2 linked regions of the Macaca mulatta genome follow. Each later gene encodes a partner of the first gene's protein in a complex. Links are inferred from orthologs where the notes say so. Each region holds a gene or a part of one and is shown in the gene's direction. Other genes may lie near its edges.

Region 1 (11,302 bases):
CAGTGGCTCACACCTGTAATTTCAGCACTCTAGGAGGCCGAGGTGGGTAGACCACTTGAGGTCAGGAGTTCGAGACCAGCCTGGCCAACATGGCAAAACCTTGTCTCTACTGAAAATACAAAAATTAGCCAGGCATGGTGGCACACACCTGTAATCCCAGCAGTTTGGGAGGCTGAAGCAGGAGGTTCACTTAAGGTCAGGAGTTCGAGACCAGCCTGGGCAACATGGCAAAACCCCATCTCTCCTAAAAATAGAAAAAGTTAGCCAGGTGTGGTGGTGCACGCCTGTAGTCCAAGCAACTTGGGAGGCTGAGGCAGGAGAATTACTTGAACCCGGTAGGTGAAGGTTACAGTGAGCAGAGACTACACCACTGCACGCCAGCCTAAGCAACACAGGTAGAATCTGTCTCAAAAAAAAAAAAAAAAAAAAGGGCTTCGAAGCACAAGAGGTAAGGTTTAAGTCCCACTGGCTTACAACGGGAAGGTATGTGAGCACATCTGCAGAGTTGGTAACGGGGAGGCAGGTGTTCCCTCTGATAGCTGCTATTTCTTAATGAGGCATGGGTTGTGGTAACTACCACAAGAAGGGGGAATTGATAGATAAGACAGAAGTTTTGAAACAGACATCCCAGAGTAGATCCACTGGGCAGTGCTTAGTGTCCATCTGAGGTTTGTAACGATAAACTTAAGGTACAACGGCTGGCCAGGCTGGCTGTTTTCTCACCTAATGACGGTGACTTGGGTTTGTGCCGAGTTGAATGACTGGGTTTACCCAGGGTTAGGGTTTTACTAGCTGAACAGAATGGAGGGACACGGGGGTGTCGGGTGGACCATGGAACTGATGCTATGCAAGAGGGAAGTGAAGACAGAAGGTTAATCATGAGAATGTCAGGGCTGGTTAGAAGGATGAAGGGTCAGGGTGGAAAAGCAGCCTCCATTTAAAAGGTTACAAGACAATCAATGTCCTCAGGGAATACTCAGGTTTCAATTAAAGTCAGATGGCCGGACCATTCAAAACAAAGGTAAGGACAGAGAGATTTGCCAGCCACCTTCTGGAGCTGATGGATGGTGAAGAGTGGTGGGAGAGACGGGATGGCATGTGGGGATGGACACAGTAGCTGGAGGTGAGCACTCCCGTACGCAGGGTGACTAGAAAGGCGGGGAGAACAGCATGAGGCACCATGGGCTCCTGAGCGTCTCTTAGAGGCAGGTGGGTGTTAGGTCCTAGGACTGTCATCCTGAATGCTTGAATCGGTACGAACTGCAAGCAGGCAAGGAAGCAGGAAGCTCCCAGCTGTTACACACATGCAAGGAGGCCCAGCGCAGGGCCTGGCACTTTCTAAGTGCCCAGTAAGAAAGAACAAACAACCGGGGAAAGACTCCAGCCATTTCCCATTTCCTTCCCATTCAGCCCACCCAGTCACAAGGTCTCTTTACCAGGGAGCAGTTCTTCACCTCACCACAAGCCTCCGTCCCCCGAGAGAGCCACTCAGACACCAGAACAAGTCACCAACCCACCAGGGGTTTAATTCTCCTAATCAAAACATCAGTTCAGAGAGGGGCCCTGCTTTGTCCCCATCCAGGGATGAAGATCTGCAAAGCACCCTGGGAATGTCCAAGCCCAGAAGAGCCAGGGGCCCATCCCTGAGCAAGTGGAAAAGTGGGTCCTGGAGTCTCAGGTGGCCTCCTCCTCTTCGCTCTCCTCCTCACTCTCATGATACTGTCTGCGGTTTGTGTTAACAAACAGGTCAGAATCATCTTCTGAGCTGGACTCCTCTCCTGATAACTGTGGCTCAGCTGGGAGTTCTGGTTGAGTTTGTCTGCACGAAGGGAAAAGAGCAGAGTTAGCCCAGCACCTTCTGAGAAAACCAGATCTACAATCAAGGAGTTCCAAAAAAAGGAGGACCATCCGGCCCAGCAGTCAGGGCCCTACAGCACCCTTTAAAGACTAAAACAAGGGACAGAGGCAGAGCAAACAGTGGGGAAACTTGGCTAGAGAAACAGGCTAAAGACTGACCCCAGTCCCCAAACATGTGCCACAGCCATTTGTTTCAGTCAGGAATAATGATTCTACGACCACCAACTAATGCTTAATGAACCCGCATCACACACCAGATGCTGCACTAAGCAATTTTACAAGCCATCCACTTCTTTAATCCTCACAATGCTCCCATTTTATATATAAGGAAAATAGAGTTGGAAGGAATTAAATGACGTGCTTAAAGTCATTCAGCTTTAAGTGGCAAAGCCAGGATTTTAACCCAGAGAATCTGACCTTCAAGCCACATTCATAACTATGTACCACATACGTAGGAGCTCTCAACAGATACCCTATGTAAGGAGGAAAAAAGGCTCTATTTTTCCCTCAAGGCACCAAAGCATGAACCCCTTATTTTCCATGTGTCCCACCGCAAGGCTTGTTTCTCACCTGTTCCTGTTGTTGTGTTTCTCAGCCACTTCAGAGAAGGCCTCAGGCCTATGCCAAGAGATGAGCAAAGTCAGGGAGGACAAATCACTTTCTCACAAAAGAGCTGTTTCCAGCTGTCTCTGCCTGGGATGCCATGACCTTCCCTCCCCTAATTCCCAAGCTAGGAAGGCAATGCCTTCAGAAGCCAGAGAGTCAGTGATCAAGGGGACCACCTACCAAAAGCCCTCCTTCTGCAGGGAGCGCACGTGGTCCTTGCAGAGCACAAACGAGATCTCAGCCTTCACCTTTTCTCCCTCTTCAATGGGGTCAACAATGAGAAAGTCTCCTGTAGGTAAGAAGAGAAAAGGCAAAGTCAGGCCTGCCTGCAATAAGGAAAGCCAAAGCCATAGGAAGTGGTTCTATCTCCTAGAGAGGGCTGCCTCTCTCACCTCCCTGTCTCTCTTTTTTTCTTTTTTTTTTGAGACAGGGTCTTGCTCTGTTGCCCAGGCTGGAATGCAATAGCATGATCATAGCTGACTGCAGCCTCCACCTCCCAGGCTCAAGTGATTCTCAGGCCTCAGCCTCCCGAATAGCTGGGATCACAGGCACGTGCCCAACTAATTTTTTACTTTTTGTAGAGACAAGATCTCATTATGCTGCCCAGGATAGTCTCAAGCGATCCTCCCACCTCAGCCCCTCAAAGTGCTGGGATTACAGGAGTGATCCTCTCACCTCTCTTGATCCAGATGTTCTTGCGGTATTTAGAGGGCATGCTCACCAGGAAGCGCTGCCCTTGGGCTGTCTCCACCTCATGCAGATTGTTCCCTGGGGTCCTGAGTACCTGGTTCAGGAGAGACCAAGAATCAGTCTCATCGGTCAAACACTCTCTCAGCCACGCGCACCCTGCCACCACCCCAGGGGCCCTCCAGGGCTGGAGGGGTGGGGAGCAGAGCAGCTTGTGCCCAAAGCCACTCACCCTGACAATCTGCTGCTGGTCGGAGGGCACGATGTGCTCCCCCAGCACCTCCTTCACCACATGCTTCCTCTTGGTGGCCTGAGACATGCTGAAGTTGTCCCAGGGTGGTTAGGAACGAAGAGACTGTCAACTCCTCCTCCTGAGTTCCTTGGATGGCAGGCTCAGAACCCAGGACTGTTCTGAAGATGGGGAGGGGCCTTTTACTGAGGGGTGACACGGTGTCTTGGTTAAGAACATGGGCTCTGAAGTCTAACTGCCTGGATTCAAATCCTACCCTCATTTATTTCCTAACTATTCAACTTCTCTAGGTCCCAGAAAAATAACAGCTAACTCAGCACTGTTACAGAATGGGACAACAGTGCATGTCATGTAAAAGTAACTCCGGCAGGGAGCTGTGGCTCACGCCTGTAATCCCAGCACTTTGGGAGGCCGAGGCGGGCGAATCACGAGGTCAAGAGATCCAGACCATCCTAACACGGTGAAACCTCGTCTCCACTAAAAATACAAAAACTTAGCCGGGCGTGGTGGCGGGCGCCAGCTACTTGGGAGGCTGAGGCAGGAGAATGGCGTGAACCCGGGAGGCGGAGCTTAGAGTGAGCCGAGATCGTGCCACTGCACTCCAGCCTGGGCAACAGAGAGAGACTCGGTCTCAAAAAAAAAAAAAAAAAAAAAAAGTAACTTCTACAATCTTAGGTACTGGTGTAATGTAAAACTATAGGAAAGTTCCAGATAAATCATCCTGGCAACCTCTCTGGAAGGAGTTTGAAATAAACCGTATCTTTCTCAACACGCTTGTACACCCCAAGTCTGGCACAGTCACACAACAGAGAAGTTCAGTCTGGCAACACACTACAGCCGGAGACAAATTAGGTGGCCACCGTGATGGTCCAAGCCAGGAACTAGTTAATTAAAGGTTGAGGTGAGCAGGCTTGTCTGCGACATCTGCATTTTTCTGACTTGCGTACTTAGAAGACGAGGACCAGCACCCTTAAGACTGATGGTTTCCGAAGGAAACACTGTCATCTCTAGTTGCCGTTCTCCTTCCTCCTCCCTGTCTATCCCGGAGAAAAGACCCTCAGAGAAACACCCACACTCAGTCTCTGGCCCTGGGCTCCCAGGAACGCTGCCGGAGCAACCCCGCTGTCCAGGCTGGACGCTGAGAGAGGATCGTCCACGACTCACTTCAAGGCTGAGCCAAGAAAACACAGTAAAGGAACTTGCCGGCGGCCGCGACGGTAGCGTCACCTCGAAATCAGGTCTCCAGCGTTCCCAGTTCCCACCAGTCCCACTGCGAGGAGTGCGACGTGAGTCTGAGTCGGATCCCTCCGAAAACCGTCTTCCGGCGCTGTCTCAGAGGCCTCCCGGCCACCCGTCCCCTCCCTTGTCCGTCTTCTAACTCTTCCCTACGCCAGGTCGGTCAAGCCTAAGTCCTTGAGTTCCGGGTCCGGGCAGCACAGAAAGGAAGTTCTCTCCCTGTAGGCCTCTCTCCCTCAGAACTGCTCGAGGAGCGAGACCTCAGAAGACAGGGCTTCCCGCGAAGAACCGGAAAGGAGCGCCTACTAAGGACGCCGTCGAGGTCCGTGGCGCCTCAACTCTATAGCTCTAACTGGCTAGAAGGGCCCAACGTGGAAGGTTTTTTTTTTTTTTAAAAGGCGGCTGAGGCGACCCGGAAGCGGAAATGGAAGAAAGTTCTAGTGGCTTGACGTATCCGCGGGAGCAGCAGGGTGGCGGGAGGAACCGTTACGGGAACTGAAGCTGCCGGTGAGCGCGAGCCGCGGAGCAGGGCCCTGGCTGGAGGCCAGAGGGATTGCGGGGAGAAGGGGAGGAGAGGGGCCGCAGGCGCTGTGGCGGGCCCTGGGGGAGAGTTTGGCCGCGCTGCGGGGAGGGGGCGGGGTGCGGCGCGTGGAAGCCGGGCCGCGGGAGGGGGCGGGCCGCGGCTGCGCGCGATGGGGGCGGAGCTGGGGTGCGGCGTGTGCCCCGTGGACGCGTAGCGGGTGTGCGCAGCGCTCGGTGTGCGCTTCGCCCTGTAGGTAGAGACTCTGGTTAGCTTTCCACGCCAAGTGGCTGTTCCAGGCAGTCAGTACCTTCTTGGCTCAGCCAAGGTCACAGAGGGAGTGACAGCTTCCGGGCAGCCCTGGCTACTGACTCTGGGAATCTTCCCACTGCCCCGCTTGCGCCACCTGTTAGGCAAGATTGTTTTTCTTCTGGGGCAAGATCAAAATCCAGGTCCTGCAGGAAGAAACTCCTTTTCAGAATAGTAGGGAAGAGTCTCCCTGGATCTCGGTTTTCTCCTTTCAGGATGAGGGGGATAGAGCAAGCCACCGGAATCCCTGGCTTGGCTGCCTCTTACTGTGAGATTGCTAGTGGGCTCTTAGGAGTTCCAGGTCTTCAGCCCTAATCTGCCTTTCTTTTGGGATTCCTAGATTAAGCCTGATCAAGATGACAACCTCCCAAAAGCACCGAGACTTCGTGGCAGAGCCCATGGGGGAGAAGCCAGTGGGGAGCCTGGCTGGGATTGGTGAAGTCCTGGGCAAGAAGCTGGAGGAGAGGGGCTTTGACAAGGTGTGGGGTGGCCGCCTGTACCTGGTGCAGGCGGGGGTGGGAGGGAAGTGAGTCCATCTGCTAGGGGGTGGACAGTGGGGTATAATCTGAAGAGGCTGCCAGAGCCTGGGCACCTGGTGGAGAGGAGATGGGGGCAAAACCCACGCTGCTTCTTGGGCTTGTGTACTCTGAATGGCACAGGAATGGCCGCCTTGCTCTTATCCCTCACTGAACACTGAGCAGCACACCCCTTCCTTTTTCCCTGTTTTGCAGGCCTATGTTGTCCTTGGCCAGTTTCTGGTGCTAAAGAAAGATGAAGACCTCTTCCGGGAATGGCTGAAGGACACGTGTGGCGCCAACGCCAAGCAGTCCCGGGACTGCTTCGGATGCCTTCGAGAGTGGTGTGACGCCTTCTTGTGATGCTCTCTGGGAAGCTCTCAATCCCCAGCCCTCATCCAGAGTTTGCAGCCGAGTAGGGACTCCTCCCCTGCCCTCTACGAAGGAAAAGATTGCTATTGTCGTACTCACCTCCGATGTACTCCAGGGTCTTTTGGGAGTTTTCTCCCCTAACCATTTCAACTTTTTTGGATTCTCGCTCTTGCATGCCTCCCCCGCCCTTTTTCCCTTGCCAGTTCCCTGGTGACAGTTACCAGCTTTCCTGAATGGATTCCTGGCCCCGTCCCTCACCCCCCACCCTCACTTTCAGTCCGTTTGATACCATTTGGCTCCTTTTTGGGCAGAACAGTCACTGTCCTTGTAAAGTTTTTTAGATCAATAAAGTCAGTGGCTTTCATGACTGGGCTTTGTGCACTGAAAAACAAGTGGGCTGGGAGTTGCCTCTTCTCCAGGGACGGACCATGTCTCCCTCACTCCTTATCAGTAGAGACCGAAACTGGCAGCTTCCCTTCCACTCCCAGAGGGCAGTCATGCTAGCCATGTAGGCCTCAGGCAGGTGACTTGTGTCTCAATCCCCGAGTGATGTGGGAGAGGGTGTGGGTGGATCTTTTCCTGGGAGCCAGATGGACGGTGCTCCAGATGTTAGTTAAGTCAACAGCTGGGCTAGGCAACACCTGGTGGAAAAGTCAGTGGGAGTCAGAGGTACCAGACAGGGTGGGCCAGATGTGGGTGAGAGTTCACCTGCCAGTCAGCATATCATCTGCTCTCCTGGCCTCGGCAAGGGTGAGCAGGGCGCTTGCCATCTTCCATGATCTCTTAGGTAGGAGAAGGAGCACAGGCATCACAGCTGGAAGGATGTGAGGGGAGTACACCTCAGTACATTTTAGTCCTATTCTTTTTGTTTACTTTTTAACTTAATAGAGACGGCCCTTCTGTGTTGCCCAGGCTGGCCTTAAGCGATCCTTAAGCCTCTCAAAGCGCTATGACTATAGGTGTGAGCCACCATACGTGTCCAGCCCTGTTATGTCTTGAACACTTAGTATGAACCAGGCTTGAAGCTAAAATCTTTGCAAACATTTTTTTCTTTCACAATAATAATAATTTTCTCTTTTACAGGTGAGGAAACTTGAGGCTCAGAGAGGCGAATTTGCCCGTGGACTTGCTCCTGGGAAGTAGCCAGACTGGAACTCAGAACTAGCTTGGAAACGCATGGACCGGGCCCTGTGTTCCTTGGTCATGTGGCTTATCCTCTCTGAGTCTCAGTTTTCCCACTTGGAAAATGAGATGGTTGTAGGGAAAGGATATTTGCAGCAGTGTGAACAACAAAGGAGTATTTCCGTAGCACAAATACAACTGCAATCAAGAAAAAGGTGGACTGGCTGGGCGTGATGGCTCACGTCTGTAATCCCAGCACTTTCAGAGGCCGAGGTGGGTGGATCACCTGAGGTCAGGATTTCAAGACCAGCCTGGCCAACATGATGAAACCTCATCTCTACTAAAAATACACAAATTAGCCCGGTGTGGTGGTGCACGCCTGTAATCCCAGCTACTCAGGAGGCTCAGGCAGGAGAATCGAATTTGGGAGGCAGAGGTTGCAGTCAGCCAAGATCATGCCATTGTACTCCAGCCAGGGTGACAAGAATGAAACTCGGTTTCAAAAAAAAAAAAGAAAAAAAAAGGCAGACAGCACAACAGAAAAATAGGTAGAAGACCTAAGATGGCCACAGAAGAAGGTTCCCTCCCAGTAAATAAGCACAGGAAAGGTGCTCCATATTGCTAGTAATAAGACATCACATGCCATTAATACCCATCTGACTGGCAAACACTTTTAAGTTGGACAATACCAAGTATTGATGAGATAGTGAAGCAACAGGAACTGATACCCAGCTGGTGGGAGTATAAATTGATCTAAACAATTTGGGAAGACAGTTGGGTGTTACTTAGTAAAACTGACACACCCTGTGACCAAGCAGTTCCACTCTCAGGACTGTGCCTTTGAGAAAGTCCCCAACACCTGCAGCAGGACTGAGGCGAGTTCGCAGCTGCAATGCTGGGAGCAACACTAGCGGCTGTCAATACTGGAGTAGATAAATACGCATTCATGCCACCGGGCACTGAACGGAGGTGAAAATGAACAAATGATAGCTGTGTACAACACAAATCTCCATAGCAAATGAAGCCAAACAAGTTCGTAGGAATTCCTACATAGATAGGAAAACAAAGGAAATGATTATGGTAAATGGTAAAGGAAAAAGTCTACAGTGATTATCTTTGGGGGAGGATGTGGAAGGGCTTAAGGGTAGGCTTGGCCTACCCTGACCTGTGTTTCTGGCCTGTGGGGTGGTGGTACAGGCATTGACCAAAAGAGTGTGTTCTACGCCCTTTTCTGTGTATTAGCTACATCTCAGAACAATAAAAATATAAAAGGAAAACCAAAAATAAAGACCTGAGGCTGGAACGATCGTGTGATAGGTCAGAAACTAAATTGTTATTTGTAGGGATGAGAGTTCTGGGCAAGGCTGGGACCGGGAAGTGCGAGTGGCCCAGCCTGAAAGGGACACTGGGGTGGCTGCAGCAGGGCCTAGCTTGTGCTTCCTGCCGCTTCCTGGGAGGCTGCTGGTCTGAGGCCTGGCTGAAGTCACGAGGGCTCTCTCTTGAGTTTCATACTGTTTCTGATGTCTTCCTGGGTAAGTCCCCTCAGCCTTGACCCTCGTGCTGTGATGCTGTCGCAGGCCTGGTGTGTTGAGGTGGGGACTTTGCAGGACCCTGGCCTCACCCACACCTCAGCCCTGATGCTGCCAGATTGTTGCTGGTGCTCTGTGAGGTCATGGAGACTCCCTCCTCCTCCACGAAGCCCTTGCCTGGGCTCCTGCCCACACTGGCTTCCTGATTTGGCCTCGCCTGACTCTGGCACTAGGAGCCTGCTGGAAGCCTGCGGCTCATGCTGTCTGCTTTATTTCCTTGCCATCTGCCTTTCCCAGCTCACCCACAGGCTTTGCCTTAGAAGGGGCTGGAACCTGCCTTCTCACCTCTCCCTTGGGGCACGGGCAGTGAGTATACCAGGTGGCAGGCCACAAACCCTTTATTAGGACTCCATATTGCATCCCACACAAGTTCTTGGCTCTGTCCTGGGACAGCAGTAGACAAAGGGTATCTAGAATGTACCTTGTGACAGTGTGGCCTCTCAAATCCAGCCTGACTCAGCCAGCAGGACAAAGGGACCACAGCTTGGAATGCTGGTGCAGAAAGCAGACCTGGTGGTGAGGGGTGAGAGTCAGGTTGTCTAAGTGTCAGCCCATGGTACCCAACAGGACATGCCTGGCCATCCGCTAGCCTGGGACATGGGTGGGCCCGGAGATCAGCAAATACTGACCCCGTGTCCCCATGCCCTCACACCCAGCCAGAGCTTGACACCCCTCAGCCGATCTAGTCATGAGTGCTCAGAGCCCGCCTAGAACCTGGTGTGAACACAGCCCATGCACTCTGGGGTCCTGAAGGGCTCCTGCTGCCCCCGGAAAGGAAGTAAGCGGAGGCTACCTGGAGCACCACAAGCCCTGCCCCGCGGAAGCCTGCTGAGCATGGAAGGCTCCCAGCAGGTGCTTGTGACAGCTGATGCCCTTCCAGGCTGGCCCCTCCCTGCAGGGACCAGGGCTCTTTCCTGTCACTCCCAACCTTGACTGATGGCAGCCTTGAAGAGCCAGCCAGGCCCGATTCTGGGCCTTTGCTCTCCATGCAATCTGGAGCAAGTTGCTTCACTCCCTTGAGCTACAGCCTCCTTGCCAGCTGGTGCAGGGTTGTGAAGATTCAACCAGTGAATCAGCAGCGCTTAGGAGCGCTCCTCCCCAGAGGGGAGCTTTAATCCCTGTTGGATTACAGGTTTCCTTGCCGAAGGATCTCCTTTTCAGGATATGGGACTGCAGAGCCCTGGGGGAGGGCAATATCCTCTGCCCAACTGAAGGTTCAAGGAAGAGGGTTCTGGGGGAAGCACCAAGGCCTTGGAGGGCCTGATCCCAGAGGGAAGGAGATGTCAAGAACCTGCCCTGGTCATCTCTACCCATCAGGCCAGGGGCAAGAGAGGGGTGCTGTGGACAACCTGGGTTGGGATGTCTGGGCCACTGCAAAACTGGAGGCTGTGCCCTGTGGCCAGTACATTTGACCGACCTCAAGCTCACGTTTGGCCCAAACCTCCTGGAAGCCAGAGTGGTCCAGACAGGATGGAGTCAGGCCCCAGGAAAGTCAACTCAGGGACACCCCACCTGCAAGAAACAACCCTACACCATGCACAGTAGACCTCATACCCCTGTAGAGCAGCCAAGGACTCATGTGCCAGGACCCACCACTACCCTTCCCCTTTGACCTCCCATTTCCTCCTTGTAGGAAGAGGTGATAATCATTGCCTCTGCAGCTGCTATGGGAAAGAAAGAACATACATTGAATCCCTGGCGCAAGGCCTGGCACACAGCAAGAGCTCTTATCATTGTTAACCCCACTCCCCACCTTTTCTCACCAAGATACCAATTCTAGCTGTGTGACCTTATACAAGTGTCCCAACCTCTCTGATTAACTTTTTCATCTGCAAAGTGAGGATAATGTGTACTCCCTCAGGGTGCTTGTGAGAATTAGTGAGTGAAAAGTGCTCAGAAATTGCTAGGTTGTACTGCAAAAGAGTCCTTGGCATCAGCACAAAGCAGTGGCAGGTGGGGTGAGTGCCCATGGTGAGTCGAGTCGCAGACAGGCCTTGGCTAGTTTTTGAGAGAGTGTTGGAGGTACCTGGGGCTATGGCTAAGCTCCAAGTGATGAGACAGCAGGCCTAGGGGAGCTGCTTCTCCCACCTCGCCCCTGTGGCACAATCCTGGGCCTCTTCCTCTACCCCTCCCAGGCTCTCAGCTCAGAGTCCTGGCCAGGCGTCATCCTCCTGATCAACTCAAGCTCGGCCAGCACTTCCACAAACTGGAGTCTGTCCCTTTAAGCCAGACACCTGAG
Region 2 (12,268 bases), on another chromosome or scaffold:
ACAAAGGTTTCTATAACACCAGTCATTCCTTGTGAAGATCATGACATCTCCCTACGTTGAAGATGGCAGAGAACTGGAACTGGCTCCATTCCTGCTGCAAAGACTGAATCTCCAACCAGCTACACCAACAGTAGCAAGCTCACCACCCTCGAGGGCCACCAGGCCCTGGGGGAGGGAGGACTTCAGGGAGAGTCGCCCCCAGCCCCCACAGGGTCTGCAGGGCTCATGTGTAGGCCCAATCACAAGGATGCTGCGTGTCTGAGTCTGGGGGAGCCAAGCGCACCCCAGGTGGAAAGGCCCAGGCCCAAGGCCACCTTCTCCAAGGAGCCTCCCACAGTCACGGCCCCCCGGTGTCTGTCCCAAGTCGGGATTGTGTTTCCTGGGGTGGGGGCAACAGGTTGTGGCAGGCATTTGCTGGGCGCCTACCTCAGGCAGGGCCCCAGGACGGGACTGCAGGACTCCGAGCCCTGGGATGAGCCTGACTGCCATGGATCGGGCACTGCCAGGTCTGGCCTGGGGTGGGCAGCAGAAACAGGACCGCTCATGGGGACACGAAAGTTAAGTTTGTTTAGTATTAAGAAGATTCTGATCTTAAAGAAAACATTGGCTGGGCATGGTGGCTCACGCCTATAATCCTAGCACTGTGGGAAGCTGAGGCAGGTGGATCACTTGAGCCCAGGAGTTTGAGACCAACCCGGGCAACACAGCAAGACACTATCTCTACCAAAAATATAAAAATTAGCTGGGTGTGGTGACATGCACCAGTAGTCTCAGCTGCTCAGGACGCTGAGGTGGGAGGATCGTTTAAGCCTGGGAGTTTGAGGCTGCAGTGAGCTATAATTTCACCACTGCACTCCAGCCTGGGTCACACAGTGAAACCCTGTCATTAAACATAAAAAAAAAAAATGCACTGTAGCTCATGCCTGTAATCCCAGCACTTTGGGAGGCCGAAGTGGGTGGATCACGAGGTCAGGAGTTCAAGACCAGCCTGGCCAAGATGGTGAAACCCCGTCTCTACTAAAAATATAAAAACTAGCCAGGCACAGTGGTAGGTGCCTGTAATCCCAGCTACTTGGGAGGCTGGGGCAGGAGAATCGCTTGAACCTGAGTGTCAGAGTTTGCTGTGAGCCGAGATCACATCACTGCACTCCAGCCTGGGTGATAGAGTGAGACTCTGTCTCAAAAAAAAAAAAAAAAAAAAGGCCAGGCGCAGTGGATCCCAGCACTTTGGGAGGCCGAAGTGGGTGGATCACGAGGTCAGGAGTTCAAGACCAGCCTGGCCAATGCAGTGAAGCCCGGTCTCTACTAAAAATACAAAAATTAGCTGGGCATAGTTGCAGGCGCCTGTAATCCCAGCTACTCGGGAGGTTGAGACAGGAGAATCGCGAGAACCCAGGAGGCGGAGGTTGCAGTGAGCTGAGATCGCACCACTGCACTCCAGCCTGGGTGACAGAGCTAGACTCTGTCTCAGAAAAAAATAATAAAAATAAAAATAAAATGTTAACAGCTCAGTGAACAATCATCTACTTGTTATAGATACTGAGGAATATTTCCATGTTGATATTTTTTCCTCATAACTCAGTCACGTTGGGATTGTAAGTTATACAACATATACTGCTTGCCAGCCATTCCATCCTTAAGGAGCAACTCAGTTTTCTTATTCTTGACTTAGAATTGGTTGCACCACGATGTCTCCTCTGCCTGCACTTCCCAGGAAGAATCCCCTGGAGACCCTCAGATTTTCCTGTACATGCCCTTCCCAGACCCTCTGACGACTGCAAATCCCACCCTACCCTTGACGGGAAACTCTCTGAGGCTGTCCAGGTCATCAACCCCAGGGACCAGGTACTGGTGGGGGAATGTTCCATGAATTAATTGCTGTACTCAGGGCTCTTGGACAAGTCTCCCCTGATCACAGGGTCCTGACTCTCCCGGTATAAGATGGACGCTCTGCTGCTCAGGAGCCTGCCTGGCTTCCAGTGGTCTGGAGTGGAGCTGCACTGCAATGGGGCTGGACTTAGGCTCCAGGTACCCACAGGGTGGGTGCAGGGGGACCATCACAGTTCAGCTTCCTGGTGCCATCTGTGGTGGGACCTGATTGTGGGGCAAAGGGGTGGGACATAAAAGGCAGAGTGCCGAGGCAGGTACAGAACGGGTGGGGGGTGCTCCTTAGGGAGAAGGCAAATCTAGAATTCCTTGACCTCATAAGGAAACAGCTTGGATCCGTATGGGGAGGGGTGGCATGGGGGAGGATGGAGCAGCACTTAGTACACAGAGGCCTCTGGGAGATGCGCCAGGATTGCAGAAGGCTTGCAGAGGTGCTGGGGAATCTGATTTTGTCAAACCTAAAAAATCCACGAGGCAGCCTCTGAGCAGCCCAGAGTCCAAACTGCCATCTGTCCCCTCAGCTCTGAAAGATGAGGTGCAAACCCCTGCCCTACCCAAGGCTCTCCTGCTGCACACTGCCAGGCACTGTCTTCATGGACCCATACTTCCTCCCACATTGCTGGGCACAGAGCAGGGCCTTACCAACAGTGATTCCTCTTTGTTAGGATCTTTGTGTGTAGTCAAAACAAAGACCCATCTCCTCATTACTCCCCTAGGTGTCTACCTCTTCCCACCCCATGGGCAAACCTCCATGGATGACTGGTCTGTGACCCTCACCAGCTGGCTCAGTCATTCTGGACACAACCAGAGCCCTCCCCTCTTCTTCCCTTGTCACCAGCCCTCATCTGTGAGACCACAGATGGTATGTCACCTCTTCATGCTCCCAGTTTGGGGCCTACCCAGTGAGGGGCACACTAGTTGATTCCATACACCCTCAGCTGGCTTTGTTTAGAATGTGAATGTCACAGTCAGGTGCGGTGGCTCATGCCTGTAATCCCAGCACTTTGCTGGGAGGCCGAGCCGGGCTGATCACTTGAGGTCAGGAGTTTGAGACCAGGCTGGCCAACATGGCGAAATCCCGTTTCTACTAAAAATGTAAAAAGTAGCCAAGCGTGGTGGCATGTGACTGTACTCCCAGCTACTCTGGAGGCTGAGACAGGAGAATCACTTGAACCCGGGAGGTGGAAGCTACAGAGAGCCAAGATCACACCACTGCACTCCAGCCTGAGTGACAGCGAGACTCTGTCTCAAAAAAAAAAAAAAAAAAGATATGAATGTCACCTCCTTTCCCTTCTCCATGGGACAGCCCATATCTGATCAAGGCCCTGGGAATCCTAGCCACAGTTCAGGCTCCTGAGCAGGCCTTGGCAGCCTTCCATAGCTCATCACCGACGTCTGCCCCCTGCCTAGACACGCTGCCCTCAGGGACTATTCCGACAGGAGAGGACGCCCCGCTGCAGCTCCCCCCAGTGCCCCGGGTGAATGAACGGCATGAAGGATTAGGCGGGCACACGTTGTCTCTGTACGCATCGCACGGCGCCCTCTGCCCGCGCCCACTGGCGTGCCCGTCGGCATGCCCGGGCCCCTTCGAAGGCTGCTTGCTTCTGGAGTGCCAGCGGCCTCCTGGCCCAGTGCCCCATTTCCTCCCGGGTAGAGTGAGGGAGGAGGAAGGGAAGCAGAGAGGTAGGCGGTGGGAAGCAGCAGGCACATGTGCGCGGGCGAGAGCCCTGCAGACTGGGAAGAAGGGCCCGTGGCAGGGGGTCTGCGGAGATCCCATAGGCGCGGGCCTTGCCCCGCAGCCGCTTCCCGAGCAATGCGCACACAAAGCGCCCCCGGCAGTGCCTGGCCCCGGGCCCGCGCTCTCTTAGGGTCCGCTGCCGGGGCGGCCGACCGGGATGCGGCCGGGAAACCCTAGGCTCTGGGGCCCAGGAAAGGGGGGCGACGGCGGGGAGCAGGGATGTGCAGGGACCGGGCGAAGTCCAAGTGACTTAGGGACCAGAGCCACCCCAAGCGCCGACTTCGCCCGCTCGCACGTCCCGGGTCCCTAGCGCGCAGGCCCCATCCCTCTCACCCGGCTGGCTCAAGCGCGCCACAGGGTGACGTCTTGGCTCCCAGCCGTGTCGCCCTGACTCCCGCGCGGGCCCCGCCCCCTGCCGCTAGCCAATCTATGCGTTTGTGACTTTTGGGCCCGCAGCCCCGCCTACTCCCACTGCGATACCAGTTTGCATTGCCCTGACTCCCGCGCGGGCCCCGCCGCCTACGCCGCTAGCCAATCCGTGCGTTAGTGACGTGTGGCGCCCCTCGCGGCGCGGCTTGCTCCCACCGCGAGACCTTCTGCCCCGCGCCCGCGCGGGCCCCGCCTCCTCCATCGCTAGCCAATCCCCATGTTTGTGACGTAAGGGCTCTCCGCTCCGCTCGCTCCCAACGCAAGACCTTTTGCTCCGCGCCTGCGCGGGCCCCGCCCCCTCCATCACTAGCCAATTCCCGTGTTTGTGACATATGGGCTTGCGGCCCCGCCCGCTCCCACCGCGAGACCGGTTCCCACCACCCTGACTCCCGGGGGCCCGCCCCCTCTGCCGCTAGCCAATCCGTGAGTTGATGACGTTTGGGCTCGCGGCCCCAGCCTCCCAGCTCTCAAGGCCCGGCCGGTCTGTGCCGGCTACTCCCGCCGTTAGGTCCCGCCCAGCGCAGCGCGCGCAGCCTGCGAAGCCAGCGGCCGTGACGCGACAGCGATTCGGCTGTGACGCGAGTGCGGCCGCTCCCGATGCACTCGTGCCGCCCCCGCCGTGCTCCTAGGCAGCCGTTGCTCGGCCGGTTTTGGTAGGCCCGGGCCGCCGCCAGGCCTCCGCCCGAGCCCGCACCCGCCATGGACGACTACGCAGATCTTTCAAATACCGAGCTGACCGCCTTGCTGCGCCGGTACAACATCCCGCACGGGCCTGTAGTAGGTACGCGGCGGCGGGCGGGACCCCTTCCGGGCCCCCTCCTCGTGCTCCGCCCCGCGACCTCCCCGCTGCCCTCCCCGCGCCCCTTCCCCGGACCGCGGCCCTGACCGCCCCGTGTCCGGCCAGGATCAACTCGTAGGCTTTACGAGCAGAAGATCTTCGAGTATGAGACCCAGAGGCGGCGGCTCTCGCCCCCCGGCTCGTCCGCTGCCTCCTCTTATCGCTTCTCTGGTGAGAGCCTCGCCTGTGGGGACGGCCTGGGACGCGGGGAGGATGAGGTAGCGAGGGTGTGGCAGGGGTGCCGGTCGAGAGCGGCACTGGGGAAAGGGGAGGGAAGTCTTGGGGTGGGGGTGGGGGTGGGGGGGCAAACAGTTCTGTCTCCTCCTTTCAATCCAGACTTGAATTCGACGTCAGGGGATTCAGATATGTATGATCTTCCCAAGAAAGAGGACGCCTTACTCTACCAGAGCAAGGGTAAGGCAGGGGTTGGGTGGGCACGCTGGCACCTTCACCCGACTGCGTCAGGGACCCCGCTCACAGGGAGGACCTGAGACCTCAGTCCCAACCACTCCAGCAGCCTTAGGAGGGAGAAACTGTCACAGGTCCCGAAATGGGATTCAGATTAGGGCCATCGGGCCAGGCGGGGCACACCGATGCCCCCTCTGCTACCGCTGCCCCCCTTCCCAAGGCTACAATGACGACTACTATGAAGAGAGCTACTTCACTACCAGGACTTATGGGGAGCCCGAGTCTGCGGGCCCGTCCAGGGGCTTCCGCCAGTCTGTGACTTCACTCCCAGATGCTGACACTTTCCACCACCAGGTGAGCTGGTTGGCAGGCGTACTGTACTTGGGTACAACCTAGGGGATCGCGGCTGTGTTTGGATAAATCCAGGGGGCCACTGGGTACAAATGGTGGCCCTTGGGCCTCTGGGGAGACTTTGGCTCAGCAGACACCTGTTTGGTCAGGGTCCTACTTTGGGGAGCCCTCAGAACTATGTGACTAGAGCACATAGGATGCGTCCTGCACCCTGGTCTGGGATCTAGGCTCCAGCTCTTCCTGAGAGTCCTGGGGGCAAAGGGGGGTGCTGGGGCATGAGCACAAGTAGCAAGGCCCCATGGATAAAAGGCCGAACACCCAGAGTCATTCAGGAGGGTGTGGGTCCCTGGCCTTTAACCAAAGGTCAGAGGGGACCTGCTGGGGAAATTTGAGAGGGACGTGGCAGGGCCATTGTGGCCCTGCCAGCCAGTTCCCTCACCTTGACTCTCTTCTACAGGTACGTGATGACGACCTTTTGTCGTCTTCTGAAGAGGAGTGCAAGGATAGGTATGTATGTATGGGGAAGGCCAGGGACAGGGGCTGGTTCTGGACCCAGGCTCCTGGCCCACCTGTTCCCCTCTTTTGCCTCAGGGAACGCCCCATGTACGGCCGGGACAGTGCCTACCAGAGCATCGCGCACTACCGCCCTGTTTCAGCCTCCAGGAGCTCCCTGGACCTGTCCTATTATCCTACTTCCTCCTCCACCTCTTCTATGTCCTCCTCATCATCTTCCTCTTCATGGCTCACCCGCCGTGCCATCCGGCCTGAAAACCATGCTCCTGGGGCTGGGCTGGGCCAGGATCACCAGGTCCCACTCTGGGGCCAGCTGCTGCTTTTCCTGGTCTTTGTGATCGTCCTCTTTTTCATTTACTACTTCATGCAGGCTGAGGAAGGCAACCCTTTCCAGAGGGAGCCATGAGGGTCTGGGCTTCAGAGCCAGGTCTTCTGGGGAAGTCCTGGCTGACTGCCTTAGCAGTGGGGGTGGGGGTGGGGGTGGGGGCAGGGGCAGGGGCAGGGGCTTTTATGTGTTCTTGCTTGGGGGGCGCTGGGCCTAGCCCAGAGTAGTGCTTGCTCCCCCTGCCTTGTCCCACCAGGGAGGCAGCAGATTCAGGCCCTCCATGGGGGCCTGAGTGTGCTTTCCTCGGCAGCCTCCTGGCCCTGCTTGCCTGTAACCCTTAGGGTCCAGGAGGGCAAGGCCTCGCTCAGTCAGAGGAGAACATGGTTCTTGTTGTCATGCATGCCTCCTTTTTGTCATCTTGTTGGGGGGGATTAACCAAAGGCCACCCTTTGTTTTCGTGGACACACAATAAAAACCCCATTTATTTTTAATGCGTTGGCTCTTCCTGGAGGAGAGGGTTGGGCTCCCATGGCAAGGGCCTCTGCGTCTTGGGACTCGAGGATTGCAATCTGGCTTTGTTGGGTCCGCATTTTTGCTTTGGTCTGGGGATAGGAATCAAATGCTACCCAGAGATGTTTGTGTTTTGTTTGGGAGTTTTATTCCCTAACTCATTCCCCAAAGCACCTGTAACTGCTTATACATATAATTGTGGTACAACAAGGCGTATACAGAGAACCCACTTAGAAATTCAGGCAAAGCAGCCGGGCGCGGTGGCTCAAGCCTGTAATCCCAGCACTTTGGGAGGCCGAGGCGGGCGGATCACGAGGTCAGGAGATTGAGACCATACTGGCTAACACAGTGAAACCCCGTCTCTACTAAAAATACAAAAAAGTAGCCAGGCAAGGTGGTGGGCGCCTGTAGTCCCAGCTACTCGGGAGGCTGAGGCAGGAGAATGGCGGGAACCCGGGAGGCGGAGCTTGCAGTGAGCCGAGATCGCACCACTGCACTCCAGCCTGGGTGACAGAGCAAGACTCCGTCTCAAAAAAAAAAAAAAAAAAAATTCAGGCAAAGCTGCATGCATGCTACCAGCAGTCTGCGGGTGTTTTAACTGGAAAAAGCTGAAGTCCACCCCAGTGTCCAAGGGCATGGGGACGGAAAAAAAATGAAGCATCTCTGGCACATCATTCTCAGCTCCTGGAACTGCTGCTTGTTTAACATGGGAGAAAAGCTCCAAAGGCTGAAATGCCCCATCATCCCTGGGTGATGGAATTCACCTGCCTATATTCTCACTTAGCTCCCAGGTTTTCTGCCCTGGGTATGTATTTCATAATCTTCTATATATACATATATATAATTTTTTTTTTTTGAGACGGAGTCACTCTGTCACCCAGGCTGGAGTGCAATGACGCCATCTTGGCTCACTGCAACCTCTGCCTCCTGGGTTCAAGCAATTCTGTCTCAGCCTCCCTAGTAGCTGGGACTACAGTCACACGCCACCATACCTGGCTAATTTTTGTATTTTTAGTAGAGATGGGGTTTCACCATATTGGTCAGGCTGGTCTCGAACTCCTGATCTCAGGTGATCCACCCATCTTGGCCCCCCAAAGTGCTGGGATTACAGGTGTCAGCCACTGTGCTCAAAGTTTATATTATATACACACATATATACATATATATGCATACATATACATAGATATATACCTGTATATACATATATATATTATTTTATTTATTTTTTTGAGATGCAGTCTTGCTGTTGCCAGGCTGGAGTGCAGTGGCACAATCTCAGCTCACCGCAACCTCTGCCTCCTGAGTCCAAGGGATTCCCCTCCCTCGGCCTCCCGAGTAGCTGGGACTACAGGTGTGCACCACCATGCACGGCTAATGCTTTGTATTTTAGTAGAGACGGGGTTTCACCAGGTTGGCCAAGATGGTCTCGATCTCCTGACCTCGTGGTCCACCCACCTCAACCTCCCAAAGTGCTGGGATTACATGTGTGAGCCACTGTGCCTGGTCTACATATATTTTTTTAAGTGGAAAGTGGGTACTAAAGCCCAAGACAGGCCAGGCATGGTGGCTCATGCCTGTAATCCCAGCACTTTGGGAGGCCATGGCAGGCAGATCACAAGGTAAAGAGATCGGGACCATCCTGGCCAACATGGTGAAACCCCATCTCCAATAAAAATACAAAAAATTAGCTGGGTGTGGTGGTGCATGCCTGTAATCACAGCTACTCAGGAGGCTGGGACAGGAGAATCGCTTGAACCCGGGAGGCGGAGGTTGCAGTGAGCTTAGATCGCACCACTGCACTCCAGCCTGGGCGACACAGCGAGACTCCGTCTCAAAAAAAAAAAAAAATAATAATTAAAAAAAAAACAACCCAAGACACAATGCCACATGTTGCTGGGCACGCCTGGCTCTATGCTGCCGGCAGAGGGCGGGAAAGCACAGAGGGGCTGCCATCCACTGCACACGGGCAGGTGGGAAACAGGCCCAGCAAGGGGTGGGGTGCTGGCATTAGTCCCCCTTGCCTTTGGCTCCTTGCTGCAGGTAGTGGGACAAGCCAGCCTCCCACACTTGGCACAGCTCCCATGCAGTGCCTGCACATGCACCCGTGGAGGCAGGGCTGGGGCTGGGACCCTCCCTGGCTACTCTTGACCATTTATCTTGGCTGCATCCTAGTCTCTCCTCATGTATATTTTTGGTCCTAAAATAGTGCATGGTCCTTGTGTGTTGAAAACATGCAGAAAAGAGCGAAGCACTTCTAATTTTCTTACCACTCAGTTTCAGCCTTTCTTGTTTGTTATAAGCTCCTCTTACCTAGCTCACTCCCAGAGCCCAGCCACTTGCTGTGTGGACTCCCCAAGCCCTTGCCCTCTGCCCCTCACCATCCCAAGCCCAATGCAACAGACTGATGGCTGGCCCTGCAGCAGGCGAGACCTGGATGGTCCATGGCAGGTGGTAGGCATGCGCAGGGGATGCCACCTCCTCACAGGTCCACCTTAGGGACCCAATGGTCCCATTAATAAGCCTGTACGTGGGGGGCAGAACAAACAGGTTGCTACTACCAGGACCCTAGAGGGATGCAGTGACAGCCTCCTGTTTCAGCAGCTGATAAAAACCAAGTACACTGACAGGAAGAACTGAACTCACCGAAGTCCAGTTCCCCCAGGAAGCACTCACTACTTCGGATTGTGGCTGGACAGAGGCAGATGGGGCCTAGCAGGAACCTATATGGGACCTGGGGTGGAGGCAAGGTTGACATCCCAAAGCTCTGGAGTAATAGCCGGTGTCAGGGAGATGGGGGATGTGGAGCTGGGCTTGGGGCATCCCAAGGAGGGAAAAGAGATATCCAGGTATCTGGACGAAATGGTGCTTTCTAGGCCTTAGGTCAGGTCCTGGATCTGTTACAGGTGAGGAGTAAAGAGGAGGCAGCCGGGTGTACTTGGCAACCCCTGTGGTGTCTGGCGTGAGGGAAGAGAGGGAAGGAAGGAACAGCGGCCACCCCCAACGTAGCTTGCCCCTTTTCATTCATTCCAAAAGAGCTCCCAAGACTGGATGGAAGAGGGCTCCCGGAGTCCCCACCCCATTTCCCCAGGGAATGACAAGGGCTGCAAGACTCCTACCCCAGGGCTCAGAGACTCCCTGCTCCTGAGGGCCCACAGCCTTCCCCAGGGCTCTGCTCCCACCACCTCCCTGAGCTCCCCCTGGATTCCTGAGGCCTCCCACTTGGGCTTGGTCACCAATCCCCAGGGCTCCGTGGGCCTTGGAGTACTCCCTCCCTGTTCCAGGGCTCCTCAGAGCTCTGCCAAGCTCATCCTGTGATCTGTCCAACCCCCAGGGCTTTGAACCCCATGAGGGATTCCAACTACTCTGGACACACCCAAGTGCACTGGGTGCCCCAACTGGAACCAGAAGGATTAGGAAGGTTCCATGGGCCTCAAGAGCCTCCAGGCCTCCACTTAAATGTTCTCCAGAGCTCTGAGAGACCACTGTGGCCCCGCTTTCAAAAGCCCCCAAATAATCTGGGGTCCCCCGCAGGGTTCCAGCAGTACTCAGACACACAGCAGGGGGCAGCAGCTGCCCAAGGTCCCAGCAAGAGGCCACTCTGGGGACTGTCCAAGAAGATACTGGATTTTTTTCCTCCGCTGCCCCCAGGCCCTGCCAGACCAGGGAGGAGAACCAACAGAGGGGGCTGGGAGGGTGTCGAGGTGGCCAGTGGAGAAGGAGACGGTGGAGAGGAAATGCAGGGCCAGGGCCCAGAACCCGTGGTCCTGGTAAGGCCTTTGACCTCGACCCCAGACAGGTCCAAAAGGTGACAGCGCCAAGGCCGGCCAAGAAGGACCCTTGCCTTGACCCTCAGCTGCGGTGGAGGTAGGAAGGGTGTCTGTTGGGCCGCTACCACTTTCAAGAAGAGAGTGCAAGAGGTGTAGAACCTGTGGCTTCATGAGGATAGGCCACTCCTGACTCTGATGGCATAAAGGAAAGGAAAACGGCAGAGGAGCCCTGCCTGACTTCCACTTGGGGCTGAGCTGCTGGCCCCAGGCTCAGGGCGGCCACTCACTGAGAGACACGGGGCAAGCAAGACACAGAAAGGGGAAGTCCCACCCCCAGCCCCAGCCACTCTACTGCTCCCCCTGGGCCCAATGGCATAGAGGCAAAGGGGCCAAGCACACTCTGGAAGCATCTAGAAGCCACCAGCTGAATGGGGGTGGGAGGCAGCAGAGCCAGGCCCAGAAAGATCCAGTGCCAGTGGGGAGGACGGGAGGTCCCCCTGAGGCTGCGACTTGTCCGCTCAGCCCACTGTGTGCCCAGGATTCTGAACCTCTGGGGCACCCCCTCCTGCCCCGAGTCACCCAGAGTCTCCTGCCCCCTCCCTGTGCCGGCTCCATCGTATCCTCTCCCAAGCCCCATGCCTGGCAGGGCCACCGGGGTAACCGCCCTAGGGCTGGGCTGGGTGAACCAAGGGCACCGATCCCCCAACCCTCCGGATCATCCCCAGGCTGCAGGGACACATGTGGGGCAGCAAGGGCGGTAGATAAACTAGGGGGATCCAGGCCCCTGAGGACAGCCCTGGCGGGAGGCCACAGGCCTCACAGGGCGGTGAGCTGGAGGCCACCCAGGCAGGCAGGCAGCAGGGAAAGAGATTGGCATGGTCGTGGCCAGCGGCCTCCCCGGGAAGGGCGGGCAAGTAGGAGCAAAAACAAGAGCAGAGCACGGGCCCCTACCCTGCTGGGGCCTATGGTCTGGGGACCCAGCCACACTGAGGAAGACCCAGGAGGACCTGCCAGGCTACTAGGAGATAAAGGGTGCACAGGCCTCCAACCCGCAGGTTATGTCTGGACTGAGTCCAGGGAGGGCAGGGAGGGGCGGTAGCCCAGTTGACTTTCCCTCCCCTAAGCCACACCTCTGCACCCCAACCCTCCCTTCTGCCTCCCGACAGCCCCATCCTCGCTCTCCGAGGCAACTGGGAGGGGACCTGGAGAGGAAACAGAAGCAATGGCCCCTCAGAGCGGGGTTCCCCGAAATCTATGGCCAGGGACTGAGTCTAGCACTCAGACACCACTGGGAACACTGGCCAGGAGTCCCTCGGGTGGATCTGGGAACCTGCTGCAGAAGCTTAGGGGACTCGGCCAGCTCAAGGAAGGGCTCAGGCTGGAAACTGAGCAGGCAGGGCACCCCTGGACCTGGGGCCGAGGAGGACAGGAAGTAGGCAACTATGGAAAGACCCCCCCACCACCACCCACCCTCAACTCGGCACACAAAGGCCCAGAGAGGC

What was found.
Region 2: the proteins of BANF1 (region 1) and EMD are in contact, whole or in part, in a crystal structure (PDB 7NDY), measured with the Homo sapiens proteins. The link is inferred for Macaca mulatta from reciprocal best matches to the Homo sapiens genes BANF1 and EMD. Residues at the interface, in NP_001137457.1 of Homo sapiens: Arg37, Phe39, Gln48, Val51, Leu52, Lys53, Asp55, Leu58, Glu61, Trp62, Asp65; in NP_000108.1 of Homo sapiens: Pro22, His23, Gly24, Pro25, Val27, Ser29, Thr30, Arg32, Leu33, Tyr34, Lys36, Lys37, Glu40.

Annotation. Positions count from the first base shown.
Region 1 is NC_133419.1:8,410,577-8,421,878, reverse strand, and holds BANF1 (barrier-to-autointegration factor), read left to right. Parts: upstream 1-5,054; 5' UTR 5,055-5,060; coding exon of another isoform or gene 5,061-5,086; 5' UTR 5,087-5,143; exon of another isoform or gene 5,144-5,569; intron 5,570-5,805; coding exon of another isoform or gene 5,806-5,821; coding exon 5,822-5,944; intron 5,945-6,196; coding exon 6,197-6,343; 3' UTR 6,344-6,709; downstream 6,710-11,302. Other genes in the region: probable RNA-binding protein EIF1AD, read right to left, coding at 1,675-1,819, 2,428-2,475, 2,644-2,752, 3,139-3,247, 3,383-3,469. UniProt on the Homo sapiens protein: Non-specific DNA-binding protein that plays key roles in mitotic nuclear reassembly, chromatin organization, DNA damage response, gene expression and intrinsic immunity against foreign DNA.
Region 2 is NC_133426.1:160,527,705-160,539,972, reverse strand, and holds EMD (emerin), read left to right. Parts: upstream 1-4,655; 5' UTR 4,656-4,753; coding exon 4,754-4,835; intron 4,836-4,958; coding exon 4,959-5,063; intron 5,064-5,228; coding exon 5,229-5,306; intron 5,307-5,520; coding exon 5,521-5,654; intron 5,655-6,108; coding exon 6,109-6,158; intron 6,159-6,242; coding exon 6,243-6,570; 3' UTR 6,571-6,977; downstream 6,978-12,268. UniProt on the Homo sapiens protein: Stabilizes and promotes the formation of a nuclear actin cortical network. Stimulates actin polymerization in vitro by binding and stabilizing the pointed end of growing filaments. Inhibits beta-catenin activity by preventing its accumulation in the nucleus.